Linked DNA regions of Schizosaccharomyces pombe. The gene in region 2 interacts genetically with the main gene of each other region. Each region holds a gene or a part of one and is shown on either strand. Other genes may lie near its edges.

Region 1 (10,928 bases), 540 kb from region 2:
ACCAAACCTAGATTTCTTTCTTTCCTTCGTAGTTAATGTCTTTGTAGGTTTTAAATTACAGTTGTAATCCAAATGTAAATATGTCAACCCTTTTCTGTGAATAAGTAATTGCAGCATGTTGTACCCTTGGCGACAAACTTGGAGACCAGCTTCAACCCAATCGATAGAAGTACTTTGAAAAAATTTAGTATTTTTTAACTGTCTAAGTAAGCTGCGATTGGTGTGCGATTTGGGATGCGCCATGTGCAACTTATTCATAACATGGGATTTTAAAAGTTTTTGATATGACACACGAACTTTAACAGGCTGATTAGGAGGACAATGCTCTAAATACCAATGCTTTATCAGTGGAACATCTTGCGCACGCTTAGTCGCACCAGATCGCTTATTAAAAGGATGGGGTGCCCACAATAAAATCAGAGCACTGGCTGTGTGCTCAAATTCTATATCTTCGGAATGAAAGAAAGGATCGAAAGGGATTTCAAAATTAGGATCTTCTTCTATGGCAGAATCTTCGGGAGAGGTATCTAGTTCATGCAAAGTGAGTTGGCGGGAAGTGATGGGGTTTATTATGGGATCCCAAAAAAAAGCCGGAAGATCAGGATCCTCAGGAGGAACGAAAACATTAGACGGTTGGTGGTATTCACTTAGTGCAACGCTTCGAGCTCTAGAATTATAAAGGTAAGGAAACGCTATCCGGTATTCAGTTTTAATGGGATGTCGGATAATAAGTTTATAAATGTCATTAAATTCATTCCAATCTTCCATTTCTGGGGCTTCGTCTTTGTATAAAGGTTCAAATTTCGGACCTCCTGGGATAGCCACGTTCAAAGCTTTAGCCGTAAAGAAACTATTGTCATTAAACAAGTAAAAGTAATTATCATCGCGTAAATCACTCAAAAGTTGGTAACCTAAACGATGTAAATTAGCCATCTGAGGTAAATTAAGCTTCCAACGACGATAGGTTGGACCATTTACATGGGGAGTATCTTCCAAAGCCTTATTTTCGTAAAACCAATCCATAACAGGAGCGTCATCTTCTTCATCTAAGTCCATTCTAATAGCCTCTAACGGCTCTAAATCAAGCAATTGATCAATAGAAAATGGTGGCTCTTCATCGTCAAAAGGAGGAAACCGCAAACGCTTAAAATTTTTTCGATCACGCTTCTCGCGTCTCATCATCATCCACATCGTTCCCCATTGAGCAATAAAATGCGGTTCAATTACGCGAGGACTCTCGTTTACAAAAGTTATAGCACCGGTTACATGATATAAAACCTTGACCTCCCTGTATTCTTCCCAAGGCATTGGCATGTTCTCAAGCAATTTTAGCACAGCATGTGGCAAGTACTTCAAAGCGCCCAAATAGGAACGTTTATCAGCACGAAACTTCCTAGAAGACATATCTCCCCTGTCTTTCATAATTTTGCGCAGGTGCTCAGGCGGAAGATCAGCTTTCTCTGTTTGAACATAACCCTGCTTCCTTTTGACACCAAACTTTGATTTTTGAGAAGCGCGCCATTTGCGTGCTCTTTCGTTAAGTTGCTTTTCAAGATTTCCAGACTGTGCTGGAGTCTTGTTTTTTCTTTTCTTCACATAACCTGGAGGTGGAGGAGGTGGAGGCTGTGAAGGAGGCTCAAATCCAGGCGGAGGAGGCGGTGGAGGAGGATTCCCCGGTGGTAACGACGCCATTTAGGTAATGGTATTTGTCAGCTGAATTGTGGTAGTGAATATTACTTTGTATGGTGGTGACCCTCGCCATTATTTGTGCGTAATATTCTTTTGTGCGTTTTATTTCATATTAGGTCTATGTAGTCTTCTGCTCATAATACGTGTTTAATGTATATTTTTTTACACGCTATACGGGATTTGAAAATTCAAATTTTCTTCGTTAAAATGCAACACGCTTAAGAAGTTTGTCAACCAAACACCTACCCATATCCAAAGGTTAATTTGAACATAATCATGCTCAATCGAATCGCCTTATAAGAATTAGTAAAGATGTATGTATTGACATAAATTACATTTTGTTATAAAAAAGTGTTATTTGTAATTATAAACCTTTAACTAATTCAGAAAGTATAAATTACCAAGTACAACTAGTATGCATAAACCAAAAATTCCTATTCCTTGATTTAGTGTTTCAGGTTCAACGGCTTTAGTTGAAAAAAAAAATTTGAAAAATAACACCGAGTTAAATAAGATTTGTACAGTATAAGTAAACACAAGTAGTGATAAAAAAACCCCCCACACTAAGTGAATGAAATGGGAAAACTGTGCAAATTATCAGAATTAAAGGGGAGAAAATATCACATAGTATACATATTTCGCCAAAAGAATATGGACAAGTATTAATGTGCAAAGATATTTGACGGTTTTAAGTTAATTCGAATTAAATCATTGGGTAGTTAAAGAGACGGAAAAATGAACAAAGTGAAACGTCTCATGAATAAAATTTGGAGAAAATCAAATGTAAGAACATATTGGTGTTTAATTTGAGACGGCCATCCAAAACATCCAAAGTTAAAACCTTGTTATATTGAGCAGACAACAAGTCGTCCAAATGCAATTCACACCTTGGGCTCGAAACTTTAACTGTCGGGCTTGTTGCTTCCAGAATAAATTTGCCAACTTCATCGGCTGATATAGTAATATACAATTTTTCTTTCTGCGGCATATGAGATATTGATACCAAAACTCCTCGGTCATAGAGTTTAAGAGCTGGGTACTTGAACGACCCAAAGCGAGGAACGCGTCCAGATTTTCGGAGATCTCGCATGTGAAAATACTGTTTAGAAAAAGGAATAAGCTTCTTCTTACCCTTCTTTGATTGTAATGTTTCCATAGCTTGTTCAATGTATTCGTTATAACTTTTTAGCTGCGAATCAAGGAAAGCTCTTTTTTCTCGTAAGTTAAGCAAACTTTGATGTCCCGCATCAAGTTCACGCTGTCGTTGCATCCTTCTTCTCGACTTATTACGGATATCTAGAGCGATAGAATTTACCATATCTTGGTAATTATTCCGTCGGTTTGCAAATCCAAGCTTTTCCATTTCCACTATATTGCTTAGTGCAGTGTATTTCAGTTCTGCAAATGACATTGAAAAGATAGAATCATCAAACAAATCATAATTCCTTGCATTCTTTTCAGATTCTTCTGCCAATAAATTTTGCCATGCTGCTTCGTCTGAATCTGTAACCGGTTTGACAAGTATTTCCAAAAGATTAAGGCCATTTTGAATTCGAATAATAAATAATATATATCTCTTTGTCTGAACAATAAGAGTCCGTTCCTGAGCAACGGGATTTTCTATAGTGCAAAATTTGGGATTCAATTCTAGTTTGACGTCAGTTTCATCTTGCACAAAGTCATTGTCTTGCTCTGAAACAGGACCTAAGCTATTGACAACAGCGCGTAATGGATCGTTCACATCAGGAGGAGCAATACTATCTATGACATATGCAATAGATGAATAAATGCCTAAAATATCGTCTCGCTTCATGTATATTACTGGCCGCTTGGTATTAACAAGGTCTTCAAAAGCATCGAACTCAAAGTACACCTCTGGATCAACCACATCGACAAGCCTTTCTAGCATCAACATGGTATCCTGCTTGGACACCTCAATAAACTCGGAGAGTGGTCTAAAAAAACCAAGTTGCTTAGAGTCACAGGACTCGATTGAAAAGATCTCAGACAAAATGCTTGACAATGTGTAAAGGTTTTTTCGTTGAAGAGCTGTAATAGAGCCATCAACCAACTTGAAGTTATCGGGTGACACAAGTACAGGAGCGACATAAGCCCAATAAACAAATTTCCCTATTACGCCAAAAATTTCTTCTTTATGCGCAGCGGGGAAATATCGTTGTAAGCTATTTTTCAATTGTGCTGCAGTATAGCATAAAGCATAAGGAATATTTTCAATATTCTTAGAAAGTGCTACTAGGAATGATTGACACAGTTTTCGAAGTTCACGAAGTCTGCTAACGTATAGATTTCTTGTCGGTGGGTGTTGCATTGCTAACGACAAAGTGAGTTTTGGACTATCAGTTTGACTGGCAACTTCAGGATTGAAACTTTTAAATAGAGTCAACGGATTGATTTCAAAATCCAAATGATTGTCGGCTACTAAAACCTTGTGAATGCGGCCGAGAATAGTTTTCCAAAGCTTCACTTCACGAACGTCCCCACGATATCCAGTGAACAGTAATTTCCAGACACAGTCATCAGAAAGTAGATCCTGAGATGAATTAACTAAAGCTGCTTCTAGCTTAATGACTTGGGAAATGAATCTCAAAAGTAGTACTTCTTCTCGTCGGTTAGAGCCATGGCCGAAAATTTGCAAAACTAAATAAACAGCATGACGGATCTTTACAGAGGAAGTGCCCTCAGTTTTTAGCGCTTGAAAATAATTTGCTAAGTACATTTCGTTGGTTTGTAACACATAGAAAAAACACTGATAAAGTTCCAAAAATTTTCTGCTTGAATTGTTGAGTGACTTCATAGACAGAGTATTAATTTTTAAATATTCAGTGCTTTGCTTTCCAAATTTATACTTGTTGTGATGTTTTAAAACATCATCCAAACTGATTTTGTTTTTAACCAACAAAGCAATCTTCACGTCTAGTTCATTGATGTGAACTTCAATTTCTTCATTGTCTCGTACTTGTTGCACAATTTCTTTTCTCATTTTTTCAAGCAATACTTCTTCCTCAAAGTCGAAATTGGTGTCGTCTAATAAATGAACAAAATTTTTGACCGTCATAACAGGTGGATTTTTGGCCGTAGCAAGTTCTCTATAAGCCAACCCTTCTTGACGACCCCTAAAAATGGACTTCGCAACTATGGGATTCTCCATATTCTTATGAAAATTTTGAAGTTTTCTTGAAAATTTGTTTCGAGATAGATACCCACGAATTAAAGATTGTAACAATACAATTTCAGGAATAAAAGAATCTAACTGAACTTCAGTATAATTCACATCATCTCGTAAAAGAATTGCACGGACTGCAGATTGCATAAACACGATATCTGGTAATCGCTTTAACAAATAGTCGTTACAATAATCAATTTTGGTTCGAGTAATGAATCCCCGATAAAGAGATTGGGCTTTAATGACAGATAGGTGCGATTTTTGAAAAGAATCATAAATGCTTTCCAAGTTTTTTCTTAAAAGAAAAGCCCGAACAATTGCCTGTAGAGCAATGAAAGAGGATGTTGATGCTTTTAATTTCTCCAATTTCTCTTTAAATGCCCGACGAATCATAAATCCTCGAGATAAATTTTGTAGTTTAATAAAATTATCCAGTTCTCCCAGAAGTGATCCATTTAATCTGTTTATAGAATCCCTTATCAAGCGTCCTTTGCAAATAGAGTGAAAAGAAACGGGAAACGATTGTACGGAATCTAGAAAGTTAGACCATTCATTCCGAAACATATTTGCACGCAGTATACTTTGCATCCGGTTAAAGAGAGGGATATAGTTGTAAAGGTTGTCAAGCATATTAACTATTGCATGACGGGTAAGAAATCCTAAAGCTGAGGATTGAATTAACACAAATGATGGTGTAAATAAGTCTAGCCTCTCTATTAACGAGTGGTATTTACGACGATAGAAACCCCCACGAATAATGCTTTGTAACGTTTGGATTGACTTCGTTGCCTCCTCCTGTAAAACCACTTTACGGTATTGTGCACGTATCAGATATGCACGAGAGATGGATTGAATAGAAGTAACCCAGTTTACAAGTTCATCGTATGCTTTCTTTCGTATTCTGTATGTATTTCTAGATATATATCCACGAATTACGGCTTGCAGAAGTACGACAGAAGAACTTTGTTCCACGAGGGATTGTAACATATCCACCAAACGCAAGCGCACAAGTACGCCACGACCACAAGCTTGAATCGCGTTCACGATTTTCTCATCGACAGGGCTACGCTGACTAAGTCCAGAAGTGGTAGAAAATAGTGCCTCCCGTCTTCTTGTGGGTGCTGAAAATGTTGTGAGGAAAGATCGTTGCATATGTCCCTTTTGAGAAGGGGGTTGAAAAAAAGAGTCTTCGAATTCGATTGAATGACTAGGCAAAGTTTGTTTATATGGTTCATTAAATTGTTCTAACGAAGGTGTCGCTGATTTCGTCCTTCTGTGCATCTTAAGGATGTCTGAACGAGCGCTAGCATCTTTCTTCGAAAATTCTAAAGTAGGAGAAGTATAAGGAGACGAATATATAGATGCAGAATCTGATGAATTTAGGGTTTGGAAACGAGCATGCTTGGGAAATCGTGTAGGGGAAGGAGTGCGAGAAGAAACAGGACTAGCACGAAGCATAAAATCGGCACTTAAAGCTTTGAAGTTAGGAAGGATTACATTAGATTGTCGGAGTCTACGGACTATTATTGAAACGTCTTCATCAGTAAAAGATAGATTTTCATCACTCTTGATTAAAGGGGGTGCCAAGTCCTGCATAGAAAGGAAATAAGAAAGGGCATGAATACAATAGATAACTTTGGGTAAATTTTTCCCTTCGTAAATGTCAGTCAGTTCGAAATGAAAAATTTCGGGAAGCCCAATGCCATGGATAAAGTCAAGAAACTTATTAATGTTATCTGAATGGCGAAACTGGAGTTCATTAGAATAGAATATCTTGATTAGTTTATCGGGTTGAAATTTCTGAACCAAGAGAGCCAAGACAACTCCGTTTCGCAGCGACTGCTCAAATGTAGACGTTGGTCCTAGATCTGTGCCGAGGCATTCTTCTATCCATTTTTTTGCTTCATCAACCCTACACAAATAATCATATGCTTGAAGGGTTTCTCTTTGTTTGGCTGCTAAACGAGTGTTCGACCCTTTCGTGCCAACAGGTGCCCCAGCTTGAGATTGAAGTCTAGATAATCCCACATTTACGTCCATTGAGACTTCTGATGACTACCTACTCAGCATTCGATCTCAAACTAGATAAAGTAACTGCACACAATTTTTCGGCTATGTTAGTGGAGAGTAGCTGTTACTCAGACAAAGAAAATGTGGGTTATCAAGATGAGTGGGGGGTTTTTAGGTGTAAGTAGTTTAATTCAAGATACTGTCCGTTAGTGACGAATTTACTCTAATTATTTAGGTTATGCTATTACAAATGAAGGTTATTCATTTTAAGACTACAATACGTATGAGTTTTAAATAATTAACAAAAAAGTTGTCAAAATCACATATTCATGTATCAAAAAAAAGTCTACTAAAAGAGATTTTAACAGTATCTAGTTTGCATTCTAATCTTTTTTTCGGTGATTTAAGGCTTCACCGAATAGCTACGGCGGAACATGTCATCAATACCAGTAAGGTAGTAAGTACCTGAACGAAGACGTTCGATGCTTCCTTTGGGAGTAAAATTCTTTTTCAAGTGTGCTTGATGGCGTAGCTCAATAGCCTCTTCATACTGCGTAGGGGTTAAACAATGACGATTATCCAAATCGTTAACCAAGTTAGTTTTCTTGGCAATTTCAGAGACGTCGCCTTTGACAACGAATGAAAAAAACGAGGCAGCCAAACCAGAACCATAAGAGTAAGCACCGACGCGTTTTCCTTTAAGTTCATCAGCGGGGACACGGCTAAGTAATGCAGTTAAACAAGAGAAAATACTGGCAGTGTACATATTACCACAGTTGGTAGGGGCATAGACACTAGGGGAAACTCGTTTGTTAAAACGCTCTTTAGTTATGGCCATAAGACCTTTTTCTAAAGCCTTGTCGGTAAGGGATTTCTTAGCATCCAGGGTGCTAAGAAGTTCACGGACACCTTCCAACTCGGGATTAGATGGTTCAGCAGCGCTATCGGTGTACAATAAACGCGCATATGCTTTTTGGACTTGTTTGCAAGTAGGAGCGTGGAAAATGCAATAATCAAAACGATCCAATCCAAGTCCTTGACTTTTTCCATTCTTAGCAACATCACGAACATTGTAATTAGCATATGCTCCATCAAGAGCTTTAACATAACATTCAAGAGAAAAATGGCCATCAACGTAAGGGTATTCACTCGTCAAATCGGGTTTGTAAAAATCGTAAGCATGTTGCATGTAAGTACCACGTAGACCAGGTTCAAAAACAATAGGGGCATTAGGACCAACCAAAAGGGCGACACAACCAGCACCACCGGTAGGACGAGCATTGCCCTTGGCATAGAGAGCAATATCACCAGCGACAACTATACCATCACGGCCATCCCAAGCAGAAGACTCAATCCAATCGATTGTGTTAAAAAGAGCGTTCACGCCACCATAACAGGCATTAACACAATCAATACCTTCGACATTGTGGTTATCCCCAAAAAGTTGCATTAAAACACTTTTGACAGACTTAGATTTATCGATGATAGTCTCAGTTCCAACTTCCAAACGACCAATCTTGCTTATATCAATTTGGTATCTCTTGATAAGTTGAGAAAGAGCGGTAAGACCAAAGGAATAAATGTCTTCACGATCGTCGACAAAAGCCATCTTAGTCAAGCCGAGGCCAATAGTATACTTTCCAGTAGAGACTCCATCATGCGCTTCGAGGGCAGCTTGTTCAACATACTATAGGGTAAAAACGATTAATATCAGGTTCTGAAGGAATTTAATGAGAAAGTATTTCTATTACTTTCCTCTGAAGCTTGCGTAAATTTGTACTATTGAAAAAAGATGTAGGTAATGCATGCAAATAATTTGGAGGAGAAGTTTTGAAATAAAGTAGCGACTCATTTATAACATACCTGATTGGGAGTGTACAACACGAGGCCCTTAATACCAATATCTTTTCTATCAAAGGACATTTTCTTGAGTTTCTACAAAGTGTGAGGGTTTTGAAAAAAGATTGCACTAACCTATTTGTGAGGCGACTAAGCGGAAAATTATCGAAGTATCTTGGTTATGGTTAAATGAAACAGATAGCTTTAGTTAGAGCGACAGTGTGTTAACGCGTTGCAACGTATCTTATTGTACGTGTGTTTAGGAATTTTTCTATTTGAGCTATTATAATATTTCAATTAAATTCTGAATCTACGATTAATAAATAAATTATTATTCATAGAAAAATTTATTTATTAGCTGGGAATAGCTTTGTATCATACGTTCACGTTTCTCGTATGATAAGATCGACCAATTCTTGAATATTAAAAGGAATAACATTGCTAACGTTATATTTTCGGCTAACATTTATCTTGCGTTTTATTCTTTTGCAAATAATATACAAATACAAACGGTGGACAAGTGAACAATTCGCTTCTCAATCGTACTTTGTTTCAAATAGAAATTCATAACTGTTTTCTAAAAATTAATTATTTGGCTATGCTGACTGCACTCGTGTATTACTTATACTTAAGAAATTAATAAACCCATAAATATCGCATTTACGAAATTACAAATAGAATTGTTTAAAATAAGTACAGATTAAAGAAGTGAAAAATTTAAGAAGTAATGGTTTTTTATGTTTTACTACTCCGTTTATAACAAGTCCACTTCATATAATAATTTTTCAATTTTACGTTTTTATCGGCTTTATTCCACTTGAAATATGCATACAAATTATCTATTTTAAGTCGGCAGTAGTTCGCTCGTATTTTAAATTAAATTTTATATGCGGCACTTAAATCCAATATTTTTTTGGACGAAACATAAAAAATAAATAAATATTGAACAGCATTAAAAAATAAGAATTGAATTATTGCTGCCTCCATCCATTCGAAATTCAAGTAGTAATTTATTAATTGATAGCAAGGTGCTTTTTACGGATACCAAACATAGTGATTTGTATTTAACGTTTGAATTAGTCTTTCAAAATGTCTGATTTTTTTCGAGTAATATTGTGTATTTCAATAAACCCACTATAAGCAGCAATAAGTCACAAAATTAAACTTATATTCTACAGAAAAGTCGTTACTTTTTTTCTTATTTATTTACAGAACCAAAAATAAATAATTAATTAATTTAATACAAAAATCGAGACTGTAAAACAAAAGAAGCATAAAAATAACGAGCTTACATTGTATTACCTTAGTTCGTTCCGCTATTACGAATCGGATGCTGCAGTAGCGCATGTATATATATATATGCCCTTCTACATTTTTTACATTCCTCAACTGCTAAAAGTCAAAACGATTCTGTTGCTGTGCTATTTTTCTCTATTAACAAAGCGTTTGGAATTGATATACTCAATCGATTCGTTCTATTGAAGTCACCATTGGGTTTATGTTCCTATACTTTGATTAACGATTCAGCTTGCTAATTCAAACCAGCTTCCAAAGCATTTAATTCTGCCGATTACGCATCTTTGCTAAGTGTTAAGCGCATATGCACATTTGGTTTGATCCATATTTCTATGTGTTTATGTTGATTGACGTCTGTTTAGCTTATTAAAAACTACTTCCTTCTCAATTAAAAAAAAAAAAAAAAAAAAAAAGTTTAAAAAAAATTACTTAACGTTTGATCTCTTTGTCTGAATACCTTTTAATTTCTGTTTTCATTTACTAGACGCACATTAATTTCCGCTGTCAAAAAGTTTGCCGTTAAATGCTCTTTAACCCAAACGTATTTTAAACAATTCTATCTAGAAACGTTAAAAAATCAAAAAGATTCATTGGTTTTATTGTTAAGAAGTGTGAGACAACCATTCTTAATTGCTGACATTTCAACACTTTCTACTTCTCTCTTTCGAAAATTCCGGTCTTATCCGTTGTAACTGTTTGTTAACGTCTTTTTTTTCGTTTAAGAACAGAGTTCCTCGGATACATCTTTTATCTAAGCGGTAAATATAACAAGTTTCTGGGTTGTACTGATTGCATATCATAGCAATCCTTTGAACATATCCCTTCGAATGCTAAAAAATTATTAGCGCTTTCGCTCATTATCGATTTTTACTTCATCTTTAGGTTTCCTGTCATACTTACGATTTATTTG
Region 2 (4,238 bases):
ACTACTGACATAAGCCATCATTAGTTATATAAATAAAAGGAACTACGATAAAAAAAGGCGTAGGTAACATTGTCAAACGGAACACGAGATATTAACAAAAGAGGAACAATAGCACCACCTTTCCACAGTCTACAATATAATGGTGGTAGACGCGTCGCAACACAGAAAAGAAACGTATCTTTGGCAAAACAAAAAAAAAATTTTAAAGTCAGTTCCTTTCAATGAAGAGACTACCAATTCCAATTTTTTAACCTTTAGGATAAAAAAGCGACAATTCTAACAAACTTCGACAAACCATATCAAAATCCTAAATCACCAGCAAAAAATCCAAATTAAGAGTTGGACTGCCCTCACTGCCTCACCCACTTCACCTGTCATAAACACAAACAAAACTACTTACAAAACAAAATTGCCACGTTGACGTATAAGCTACAGCAATCAACACAGCAACACTGAATATCAAATTGCTAATAGTACACAAAAACAAGAATGAACAAAATTAATGCCGGCTAACCTTCACAACACACGCGCGCATAAACTGCCTATTACACTAAAACAAGCAATATGCAATATTTACTTCGTTGTATAGCGCCAAACAATAACAGATAGCACAAATGACTTAAGATTTATAGCGACTTGGCTTCAAAGGGACAAAAAAGTAGTGCCCTATAACAAATTAACGATTAATAACGATATCGAACTCTTCCGCGCGACTAGCAATTTCAAGAGTCGAACCGAGGAAAAATGTGGTTTGCAGAGGGAAGGAGGAAACATGTTGGTATAAGTCACCGTTGTCCTCAGGGTTAGGGTTTTGATGTGAATCAACATTGCGGCGGATGAACGATTAGATGATAATTTCAATGGAGGGCGACTGACCAATTATCTTTCTCCTACGTCACCACTGGCTAAAGCTATCAGGCGCAACGCAAATCGCGGGGTGTTATTGTAAACAAACAAAACCAAAAAATTCGGCCAAACTATGTGTTCTGCAAGTAAACAACTTAATAATAATACAATTAAAAGATAAATGATCAACAATAATTGCAGGTTAACTTCTTACAAAATTTCGATAAAAGTTTCAAACCCACAAAGCACATTTTCTGTTTTAAGTGTTTGTAATCACACACTCACTGCTACAACAACAGTAATTACAGCCTTTGTCAAGACAATAAACAGATAGAAATACGGAAAAGTGCAATTATCCAATGTAATCCTCCAATGTACTGACAAAAAGGTTCAATCCAGTTTAAGCAAGGTTAGAAATGTTTGTTTACACAATTGGTTTCAGCCGTGCGCTAGTAGTCTTAGTATGGCCAAACATACGAAAAAAGTTAGAATGCAAGATTCGAACTCGGGATTTCAAGAACTCCGAACGGGACAAAGAATCTTATGGAACGGAATGGAATCATTTCTCGGTCATTTGAGAAACCGTCCTACAATCTGATTGGTTAAAAGGACCACACCATGAAAAAACCCATGTGATTTTTGCGAATCAGAAATCGGTGAGAGATGGGAGTTGAACGCTTGTACATAATTACGTGACAGTGGCAAAATCTAGGCTCTCCCAAAATTTTTGATCACAGTTAATGTTCCGCAAATTTTTAGAACGTTGAGTCGCGCTATTCCATTTGAAAACCGTTTAACAAAACAAATTAAATGTTCTTTATTTCTAAGGAACGCAGTTTGAAGATATACGAACACTAAATTCGTAAGTTGTCATACTGCATAACGACAGTAAAACGTTATTAAAGGTTGAGTGGATGCTAAAACAGAAGGTGAGATGTAGATAAAGATCAAAAAGCAGTTAAACAATGCATTTGTTAAGGTTATAAACATAAGAATAGATTTTAAAAGATCCATAGTTTAAATAAAATGAAAGACCATTGCTTAAAATGAAAGAAGGACGTTTGTTATTGACTTTTTTATGACTTTACATGGTTTGACTCGTAGAAAATCCAAACTTTAGATAGAAAGCGATTCAAGCATTGACTTTGGCATATAATTCTCCTTGTTTCTGTATTAAGGAATTTAACCGATATACAGAAAAGTTTTGTATTCGTTGCCAATACTAAATTTAACTTGAAAATGTTCAATATTGAAAAATAGACAGCTTATTGAAGTGACCAACAGTAGCATCTAATAAATTCTTGACTTTTTCCGCTTGAACAAAATGTGCTCTTCTTTTGATTATTTTTAACAGCTCATTGATATTACCAGTTTGATTATAAAGTAAGTTTGAGGTTGGTTTTTGCTACGTTGTCATCACCAGAGGGTTCATCGTTCAATGTTCACCGCCATATGTTGTTCACTTTCTAAACTTACGCAGAAAGCACCAGAGTACAAGTACCTCACCACCAGTCAGTCACCTCTACTATTTGTGTACTGCACCGTGAAGAATCTTCGTAATTTATGCGACGAATCTAAAGTTACTTCCTATAATCATTAAGGCCTCACTTTTATTCTGAGATCGCTATCCGGTTGTATTCTTTTGTTTAAAGCATTATATCATCAACTCACCATGAATGTAAGTATTACTGAAATTAATTACCTTGCCCAATTTTTTTGTTATATTTTTATTATATAGCCATCTGTAAATTCATCTTATCATTGAATGCATATTTCATCGATTTTCGTCAGTATTGCTCAGAGACTTTATGAATTTGCTTTTCACATTCTTTGTCGTTATCCTTCTTTACAATATCAGCTAACTTATTCTTTTAGTCTGAAGACGCTGCATTAGATTTACTCCGACGATTAAACCCAAAAGATATCTCTAAAAACCTAGACACAATTCTTTCCGTCGCTCCCGATTTAGCTGATGTCCTTCTCTCGTCTGTTGATCAGCCTCTAAAAGTAAATACTTGTTCTGAGTCAGGTAATCAATATTTGTTATGTGACTTTAACAGGGATGGAGATTCGTACCGCTCACCATGGAGCAATAAATATGATCCTCCTTTGGAGGATGGTTTAGTTTCTACTGATCGAGTTCGTAAATTAGAAGTTTCTTTGAATGAAGCAATCCGTGTCTATCTTGATCTTTATTACGAGGGCGGTGTTAGTAGCGTTTATCTTTGGGACCAAGACGATAGTTACGCAGGCGCCGTTCTCATAAAAAAGGGTATTTTTATTTTCTGTCAATTTCATTATATAATTCTAACTTCATTTAGCTTCTACTTCTAACTCAAGCGGATGGGATTCTATTCACGTGTTTGAATGTCTGCCTACCACGGAAACCAACGTTTATGATTACCGACTTACAAGTACTATTATCCTTTTCCTTTCATCTGGCTCGGAGGAACAGTCTGCCTTGCCTTCCAAAGCTCTTAACCTTTCAGGTCATTTGACTCGCCAAACTTCTCAACGATTACCAGCGGCAGATGATGACACTGAGATCGCTAATGTTGGCAAATTGGTTGAGGAAATGGAAACTCGGATGCGCAACTTCCTCCAGGATGTCTACTTTGGAAAAACTAAAGATATCATCAACCAGACTCGTTCCATTCAACCCGTTTCCGATGCCCAACCAAATGATTCGGCTTTGCGTTCAGTTTTAAACGATCTTTCCATTTAGGATTGCTTTTTGTTTTCTTTCCGTGATCTTCTCATAGTATTCGTTCCATCTTCAACGAAAATAGTCATAGAAAGATTGACTAATATAAATAAATACACCGATAATCTAATTTTTTTACAACAGTTTTAAAAGAAATTATTGAATTTAATTGTTCAGTAAAAAAGTTTATATAAATAGCATTAAAAAATATACGTTAAGAGACTTTATAAGAAAGCTGTTAATCGAAGATCATGTAAAAAAGGTCATGAAATAAGCTGATATGGTTTAGACGAGGAACGTGATCGAAGAGAGGAGTAATTTATTGGAATTGGAAGACGCGCCAGGTATAATCGGTGAAAAAGGTCAAAATCCATACCCATCTTGTAATGCCAATCTGGCTTTTGAGAAGTTAGCGGCTTGGTACGTAGCTGAACTAACCAGAAACCAGTATACTGCATTAACTCAAAAAGCTGGGATTGGGTAATTCCACGGGGAAACGAAAAAATGCCACAGTTCCATGAAATCCAAACTATGTTATACATTATATACAACATTTGTTCCGATGAAAATGAAGTCATGGGTTTTTGATCAGGCGAAGGGAGTTGAAGCGGGCATGGTAAGGGAATACTGGTATACTGAGCTAAAAATATACAAATAAAGGATAAAGTTAAAGCACAATCAGGATTTA
Region 3 (8,557 bases), on a different chromosome or scaffold from region 2:
TGTCTTCTTGTAACCTGTACAACGACCGAATTCGTTGCAAATTGGTTGTTCTAGTTGGGGAAGGGTTTTCCATGCTCTTTCAGATATATCCTCAATTCCGTCACTCTGGAGAAAACAGATTACCTACTAAACTGTATTAAAATATCCAACACAGAAAGATTTAACAGGGGGGAATTGTTTCCGATGTAGTAATGTTTACGGTCCCAAAAGACCGTCTATCCCCATATAAGTCAGTACGTTAGATCCCAAAATCAAAATAACCAAACATGAAAATCTTTTTTTGACGTTTTTATAATTTTTCAAGCAATAAATGCATTCGTGCAAATGCTTATGAATTTGGTTCTCGCTACAAATTTATTGGCTCTATGTCATTTCCATTGATGAAAACTAGTTATAAAGTAGAGACCGAGACCCGATCACAAAACAAAAAAACGACACGCTATATTGCTTTACTGTAATTACATAGCTTTTCGCTATTTTGTTTAAAGAAAAGCTAATTTATCACTATTGATGCTTGACGAAATGCTCCCTATCGGCACATTCAGCAGGTGCTCAAGTTATCCAACAACATCATAAGCACTAGACATTAGATATGCCGGTATGTTCTAAAGTTTTGAATTTTTGTTGCTGACATGTTATGAAAGGCCTATCATTCCTCCTTCTTAAGTCTTACGGACGTCCCTACCACGGGAAACATAGCAATGCTGCCGTTGAAAACCAAGTTTCGTGGACCGGCTTATCCTGGTATGTTCCAGATATTTGTCAACTCTGTTTAAAGACTATTCTTAATGTTATTAGAGTACTTTCTAACATTTTTTATACAGCTGATGAGAGTCAAATGGATATTATTGATGAATGCATTGGGCTGTTTCGCGCCAATTGTTTCTTCCGCAATTTTGAGATTAAGGGACCAGCAGACCGTACTTTAATTTATGGAACATTATTTATCAGTGAGTGCTTGGGAAGAGTTAATGGACTCAATTATCGTGATGCTGAACGTCAACTTAATAGTTTAGCGTTGGAGAATTTTTCTATTCCTGGCTCTGCTGGCTTTCCCTTGAATGCATTATATGCTCCTCCCCTTTCTCCTCAAGATGCTGGTAAGATTCACCCAAACTGTGGCATTAGACATATAGATGTTTGTGCCGCTAATAGCTTTCTTGCTTTTTTTTTCATTTGCTAACTATTAAAAAAAGAAATAATGCGTACATATCTTACTCAATTTCGTCAGGAACTTGCTTATCGTCTTTTGTCCCATGTATATGCAACTGAAAAGGATCATCCCAGCAAGTGGTGGACTTGCTTCAGCAAGAGACGTTTTATGAACAAAGCTTTGTGAGTCTATTAATTAATAATTTGGCTCATACTGTATTTCAAAGCCTTTATGTTTTTCCGTTTCCTTTATTTCAAATGCGGCTTATAAAGTTTTTGAAGCGTACGAATGGCTTATTTAATGTAGGCAGTTTTATACGTAGATAGTAGATGCAAAAATAATCGCTTTACTTTCATGTACAAGTTATCAATTAGCTTTGTTAATTATGCTAAAGGAATATTTGAATGATTAAAGTCGTAATATTCAATGTTGGTTCAAAAATTTTTATTGAAATCGTAATTTTGATTTTTGCAAACGGCAGACCCAATAATGAGGATGGTATATCCATTCAAGCATACTTCGTTTGTCCCCCATATAAGTCGTGTCGACCGAATTGTGCTTTAAAACCTCAAATCCCATACTATCCATCACGTAAAACAGCTGCTCGAGAGTCAATTCAACGAAAGGTTGTTGCTGGCTATCACTGTTAGAATTAGAAGTACCTTCTGACTCAAAATGATACAATAAAGGCCCGAGATTTATCCAATAACCTCCATCTACCAAACAGTTTTTAATTGTATCCAAATAGTCCAGTATGTTTTTTGTAGTGTCTATAAAGAAGCAGGTAGCTACTACTTGAAACGAATCACGACTTTCTTCGGTGCCGTATACCTCCAGGAAATCCCCGGCTGCCATTGAAAAGTTTTGTGAATTCCGCAGATATTGAGAGGGAACTGCATCAGGAATATTTAATGAACGCACCTGGTCATCACGCATGACATGGTTCGAAAATGAATGAATATAAGGATACACAAGAAACTGATTTTCCTGCTTTACGCAATTCAGTATGAAATGCGACGTTAAAAGCATAAAATATGAGAACTCATTTCCTTGGCATGCAAAGCCTATTAAATGTTAGAAGCTATGTCCAAAAATCCAAATTTAGAAAGAAGTTAGAAAACATGTAATCAGATAAATAATAAATCATGCTATTTTTGATTGATAGTATCAAGTGTACCTACCTTCCACAGCTATATCAAAGGCCAATCTTCCTAAGCCGGAACCTGGAACAAGTACACGAATTTTAGATCTGTCTATAGAATCAGATGGGAAAAGTGAATTTAGTTCCTCGATGAAAGGAGCATATGTAGTACGGCGTTCCTCAACACATTCGGTCGACCAATCTCTCGCAATTTGCTTGAGAGTGCTTGAAACTTTTTGCATCATATCAACATTGACATGAAATAACTCATTTTGATCGAAATCACTGCAGAACACAGGAATGGCTGCGTTAGCGATTGCTTCAGCAAGCACGCTGTTCTGCTCGATACATTGATCAATCCTTGAAAGATGCTTTAAAAAATTGTTGTCAGAGTCCTGTAAGAGTAAGTCCTTGTGTTCAAAAGACAACCTGCTCATCGATTTTCTCTTCTGTTGTGTTATTGTATGAGCATATTGCCTGTACAAAAAGAACGCGCTTAAAACTTCTTTCAAAACTTTTACTTCTTCCTCATCATATTCCATAGTTTTTTTTGATGTTTCTGAGCTCTATCTAGACTTTAATATTTTTATCATCTAAGTCGCAATTTTGGCGTTGTGGAGAAGTTAAACCTCTAACTTGTTGCTTCATTGAAGTTGGAAGTGTTGAAGAAACCAATAAGTTAAGAATATTATGGTTAATATAATTATGTTTTATGTATTTCATTAGCTTTTCAAGTTATGTTTATATCTACTGTGTTTGATTGCAATATTGAATCATCTCTGCTGAAAATCCCTGCAACGCGGTGCCTCTATGAAAATAGTGTTTGCCTTTTGCAAAAATCCCATAGGTTTTATTTGGATAGTTGTCAGACAATATTTTACAACAGCAGCCGCAAAGGAAATTCACCATGCTTCAACAATACCGGAACAGCTAATCTTCTGAAGCATCGTTATAGTAGTATTGTGAGTTTTGTAGATTATAAGAAAATAATATAAGAGAATCTTGGTGCACGCAGTAATATCATACAATATTTATATTGCAGCTTATAAACGAGACTGGAAATACACGTGAAAAGGTAGTCAGGTTAAAAGTTTAACCCTGTGACATCTGGCTAATCTTTTATCCTATTGCGCAGTTAAAAGCGGGAATTACTTCTTTTTCTTATATTGTATCAAAAATTGTTGGCTTCAGTGACCTAAACCCTTGAACAAAAGAAAAAAAACACGAATTTTCACGGCCGGAAAAACTTTCTGCAACGTTTTACAAAGGATCTACTATCATAGTAAGTAGAAATTTTGGCTTCTTGACATATAGTACTAAGTAATTTTCAAGTCGATGCATCAGTTGACTTCAATTGAAAGAGCTTGCTAGTTTGTGATGTTTATGGCATTTGAATTCGGTAATATCGCTAATTTGATATGGACTTACGTTTAGCTTTTTATTCTGTAAAAAAAATTAAAATTCAATGTAGTTGATATCCCAGCTATATATTCAATCTAAAGCTACAACGCAAGACATCGTCAAGTAGTAAATTACTTTTTACAATTGCAAATTAACTTTTAACAGATTGGCTAAGCAAACGTGTATTAACTCATTTAGCGAGCGGATCAAAGTTTTGCTCTACGCTTCTGTAAGTATGATGTATGTGCATCAACAACACGACGTTAATCCTTGTCACGTAGCAACTGCAAGCCACCCAAAGCACACATCGTGTGGTTTCGTTTACTATACATTTTTTGGTCAAATTTTACTTTTAAAGAAATGTTAGCTCTTAAACTTCAAAAGAAGTATCCGGAGCTCACTAATGAGGAAATTCTAACCTTAACCGACCAATTTAACAAACTTGATGTGGATGGAAAGGGATATTTAGATCAACCTACCACTATTAAAGCCTTTGAAGATTCAAAGAAGGGTTCTTACGATGAGGTCCGTGAAGCAATTCGTGAAGTTAACGTTGATTCGTCTGGACGTGTTGAACCCGAAGACTTTGTAGGAGTAAGTAATGTTTTCCGTAATTTTCACGATATGTGTCTCTATATCGCTTCATCAATTGGATTACTAATGCATATAGATTTTCAATGTTTTAAAAAAAGGTGTAGAAGGTACTGAAGTAAAAAAGGGTCGGATTACTATCAAAGGATCTTCCTCAAGTGTTTCTCATACCATTAATGAGGAAGAGCGAAGAGAATTTATCAAGCATATTAATTCCGTCTTAGCTGGAGACCCTGATGTTGGTTCCCGAGTCCCCATCAACACTGAAACCTTTGAGTTTTTCGATCAATGCAAAGATGGTTTAATCCTCTCAAAGTTAATTAATGACAGCGTTCCCGACACCATTGATGAGCGTGTACTCAATAAACAGAGAAATAACAAGCCTCTTGATAATTTCAAATGTATTGAAAATAACAATGTTGTTATTAACTCCGCAAAAGCTATGGGTGGTATCTCCATTACCAACATTGGTGCCGGCGATATTTTAGAAGGTCGTGAACATTTGATTCTTGGTCTTGTTTGGCAAATCATTCGCCGCGGTCTCCTTGGAAAGATTGATATTACTTTACATCCCGAGCTTTACCGCCTTCTCGAAGAGGATGAAACCCTTGACCAATTTCTCCGTCTCCCTCCTGAGAAAATTCTTCTCCGCTGGTTCAATTATCACTTAAAGGCTGCCAATTGGCCGCGTACTGTCTCTAACTTCTCAAAAGATGTTTCAGATGGCGAGAATTATACTGTGCTGCTCAACCAATTAGCTCCCGAACTCTGTTCACGTGCTCCTCTTCAAACTACAGATGTTTTGCAGCGTGCTGAACAGGTTTTACAGAATGCTGAAAAATTGGATTGCCGCAAATATCTTACACCTACCGCTATGGTTGCAGGGAACCCTAAGCTTAACCTTGCCTTTGTTGCTCATCTCTTTAATACTCATCCAGGTTTGGAGCCTTTAAATGAAGAGGAAAAGCCGGAGATTGAACCATTTGATGCAGAAGGTGAGCGTGAGGCACGTGTTTTTACCTTGTGGTTGAACTCTCTTGATGTTACTCCATCCATTCATGACTTCTTCAATAATTTACGAGATGGCTTGATTTTGTTGCAAGCTTACGATAAAATCACACCTAATACCGTTAACTGGAAAAAGGTGAACAAGGCACCTGCATCTGGAGATGAAATGATGCGTTTCAAAGCTGTTGAAAACTGTAATTATGCAGTGGACCTTGGAAAAAATCAAGGTTTTTCTTTGGTAGGAATACAAGGTGCTGATATTACTGACGGTTCTCGTACACTCACCTTAGCATTGGTTTGGCAAATGATGCGTATGAACATTACCAAAACTCTACATAGTCTTAGCCGTGGAGGTAAAACTCTTTCAGATAGTGACATGGTTGCGTGGGCCAATTCTATGGCTGCTAAAGGTGGTAAAGGTTCTCAAATTCGTTCATTCCGTGATCCTTCTATTTCCACTGGTGTGTTCGTCTTAGACGTACTTCATGGAATTAAGAGCGAATATGTTGATTACAATCTTGTTACCGATGGTTCTACTGAAGAACTTGCTATTCAAAATGGTATGTATATATATTTGATATATTTTTAATTTTCATTACTAACACATCGTTTAGCTCGTCTTGCTATTTCTATCGCCAGAAAGTTGGGTGCCGTAATCTTTATTTTGCCAGAAGATATTGTGGCCGTTCGTCCTCGGTTGGTCCTTCATTTTATTGGCAGTTTAATGGCCGTATAATTTGTTTCGACTTAACTATAGCTTTTAACGAAACGATTTAACACATGTGTTTTTCCCAATTTAATTACTTATATTGCGAACAACTTCGGAAGTGAGTACGTCGCTTTTGACTCGCTATGTTATTAGTGGTATGTCATATTATAGATAACTTTGTGTTGTTTTATGATACATCTTAACCCGTTTTTGTCCCTTTAGTATTGGGTAATCCTTATCCTAATTAATGTTTGAGGAATTCTGAAGCTGCACGACGAAACGTAGTCATTTTTTCTCAAACTGTAGAAAATAGTTAGCTTTTTAATTTCATAATGAAGGGAAGATCATTTGTATATGTAACTAATGGTAAGTCTCTGTAGGCCCAAATAGTACGGACTGCATATGCAAATCAGCTTTCTAAATAAAGCATTCGTTGGGAGAACGTTGGTCTACCAAGCCCTAATTTTCAAACACAATAAAAAGAAATAAAAATGTATATATGTCGATTAACATTTTTTACTTTAATAAAATATTCGGAATCTTATAACAATATTATTTATTATCAGATTACTTAACATAATACACATTACGTCCACCGTATATTGTCCAACTATGTCAGCAATACTACACTACGCTATGCTACACTACGTTGCGTATCACTATATGTCATATGTTGGAATACTAGCTAAGATCCGTTTATTGATAATCACGGGTAACTATCCTTCTATATACATAGATACCCGTTGATAACAACTATTTAGAAATATTATAAATAGCGTTACAACTGAACCTCGTTCCTCAGTTCAGTTATGAGCTATATTAGTGATAGGTAACATTATAACCCAGTTAATACAATACCTATACTCAGTTGCTACTTATACAACCTGTGTATTGTAATATAATAGACCACAAGGAAAACTCACCGCAGTTCTACGTATCCTTAAATCAGATACCAAACTGCGTAGCTTACAAACTACTTATAACCACCATTCAAAACAGGTTAAATCGTTATTGCCGATTGGACTTTAAAATACATATTGCTACCTTTACTGCTATCTAAGTTTAAATTCGAAGATGATTAAGCCAAAGAAGTTGTCGTCGTTGATGAAACAGGCAGTTGAGGAAACTGTACCGTCTATCATGTAAGCATTTAGTGAATTTGAAGTTCATTCTTACTTCAAATCCAGTGGGTACACCTGTACTATTTTGGAGCTTAGATATATAAGTTTATTGTTGAAATATTCTGAGGTATTAACAAACTAGGGTTTTTACCACTACTGGCTCGCTGCTAGCTTATGTTTCTTTTGAAGATCCTAAAGATGGTTTAAAACGTCTGGATTTAGCTAAAAGGGTTAGATCTATTGCGGCTTTAGCAGGCAACATGTATTCACTTTATACTGCAACCAACCCTAGCCCTTTGGTCGCGGAGTCTACAGACGACGTGATTGCTCATCAAAGAGATGTACTTTTTGAAACAATAATTGAGTTTGAAAGGGGGAAATTATTAATAGCCGCCATTTCAATTGATGGGGCTGAAGATAAACTTTACTCCAAAGACCCATTATTATTAGGGATTGTTGGAACAGAAAACGCAAAGGAAGGAATGATGCAAATCAAATCTGAACTTTTGAAAGAGTGTATCACCAATGAGCTTTCCACGCTTGGAAAACCAGTCTAACTTATTTTAAATCTATTTTGATTTAAACTCGATAATGTTTGGAGCTTTACTTGCATTGTTTGTTACAATCATAGGCTTAAGCCTGACCTTGGTTTAAGAAAAGAATGCTACAACACATCATTATATTGTTAATTTTCTCTTCCCTTTTAGCAGATTATTTTGAATTTTTCATTTGGACAAAGGATATATTGATTTTACGGTTTATTTGAATGTTTGAACTTGCTTTCTGGAATTTTTGAGACATCCTTAAAACTTGAACTAACGTTAATTTGTCCGAATTGGGCGTCGGATTAGCAAAAACAAATCATCTAAACCCTGGAAATTTTCATCTTTCTCTGCAAATCTTCTATGATGTTTTCCGCCCAAATGCTATCGATGTGTTAGTGCTGTTTTTGCTATGATTGGTTTAACTTACCCTTTCCAAGTCCTTGTATCTCTCACAGCAGTTTTCACAATATCCTGATTTTGTTTCGATTTTCACCTTCTTGTGAGCTAGAGGATCTGCATCGAAGGCATTAGGTGGTTGTCGAGGACTTTGGTTAGCCAAGGTGTTTTGTTTGTTTATTAAACGAGGTTCAAGAAGGTTAAGTGGAGACATTGCGGCGCGTTTCTCTACCGGTAAGAGGTTTTCTGGCTTTGGAAACTCTGTCGGCATTTGTTTTGCACCATCAACTGCTGATTCTGTGATATTATAGTCCCCCATGATTTGACGCACCAACACACTCGCTGAATTTTTAACAACGTTATTTTGGTTAGTTTGATTAGTGCAACTTAAGAGCTGTTTTCTGATTTCGTGAGCTGGATGGTTATGTTTTGTGATTTTTAACTCCCTTCTTCTACCAGTATTAAATGGACATCTTCCTTGTGCGGTTATAG

Evidence for each region. Genes that interact genetically often act in the same process or in processes that back each other up.
Region 1: mutations in acp2 (region 2) and rng2 impair growth when combined (synthetic growth defect), as found in Schizosaccharomyces pombe (2 studies listed by BioGRID, with this or other methods).
Region 3: mutations in acp2 (region 2) and fim1 are lethal when combined (synthetic lethality), as found in Schizosaccharomyces pombe (2 studies listed by BioGRID, with this or other methods).

What each region holds. Positions count from the first base shown.
Region 1 is NC_003424.3:2,641,502-2,652,429, reverse strand, and holds rng2 (IQ motif containing GTPase activating protein), read right to left. Parts: upstream 7,003-10,928; 5' UTR 6,914-7,002; coding exon 2,444-6,913; 3' UTR 2,003-2,443; downstream 1-2,002. Other genes in the region: U5 snRNP complex subunit Spp42, read right to left, coding at 1-1,692; hcs1 (3-hydroxy-3-methylglutaryl-CoA synthase), read right to left, coding at 7,287-8,570, 8,747-8,806. UniProt on the Schizosaccharomyces pombe protein: Component of the contractile F-actin ring; required for its construction following assembly of F-actin at the division site.
Region 2 is NC_003424.3:2,103,530-2,107,767, reverse strand, and holds acp2 (F-actin-capping protein beta subunit acp2), read left to right. Parts: upstream 1-2,334; 5' UTR 2,335-2,518; coding exon 2,519-2,524; exon of another isoform or gene 2,525-2,721; coding exon 2,722-3,118; intron 3,119-3,167; coding exon 3,168-3,571; 3' UTR 3,572-3,738; downstream 3,739-4,238. Other genes in the region: protein Atg14, read right to left, coding at 3,814-4,238. UniProt on the Schizosaccharomyces pombe protein: F-actin-capping proteins bind in a Ca(2+)-independent manner to the fast growing ends of actin filaments (barbed end) thereby blocking the exchange of subunits at these ends.
Region 3 is NC_003423.3:3,104,240-3,112,796, reverse strand, and holds fim1 (fimbrin), read left to right. Parts: upstream 1-3,988; 5' UTR 3,989-4,055; coding exon 4,056-4,289; intron 4,290-4,365; coding exon 4,366-5,854; intron 5,855-5,908; coding exon 5,909-6,030; 3' UTR 6,031-6,555; downstream 6,556-8,557. Other genes in the region: SPOM_SPBC1778.09 (GTPase-activating protein), read right to left, coding at 1-73; arc3 (ARP2/3 actin-organizing complex subunit Arc21), read left to right, coding at 593-598, 645-744, 825-1,100, 1,197-1,339; SPOM_SPBC1778.07 (carnosine N-methyltransferase), read right to left, coding at 1,598-2,217, 2,335-2,836; guanyl-nucleotide exchange factor Lam2, read left to right, coding at 7,078-7,145, 7,267-7,681; Spo4-Spo6 kinase complex regulatory subunit Spo6, read right to left, coding at 7,946-8,050, 8,097-8,557. UniProt on the Schizosaccharomyces pombe protein: Binds to actin, and functionally associates with actin structures involved in the development and maintenance of cell polarity. Plays a role in cytokinesis. Plays important roles in mating and in spore formation.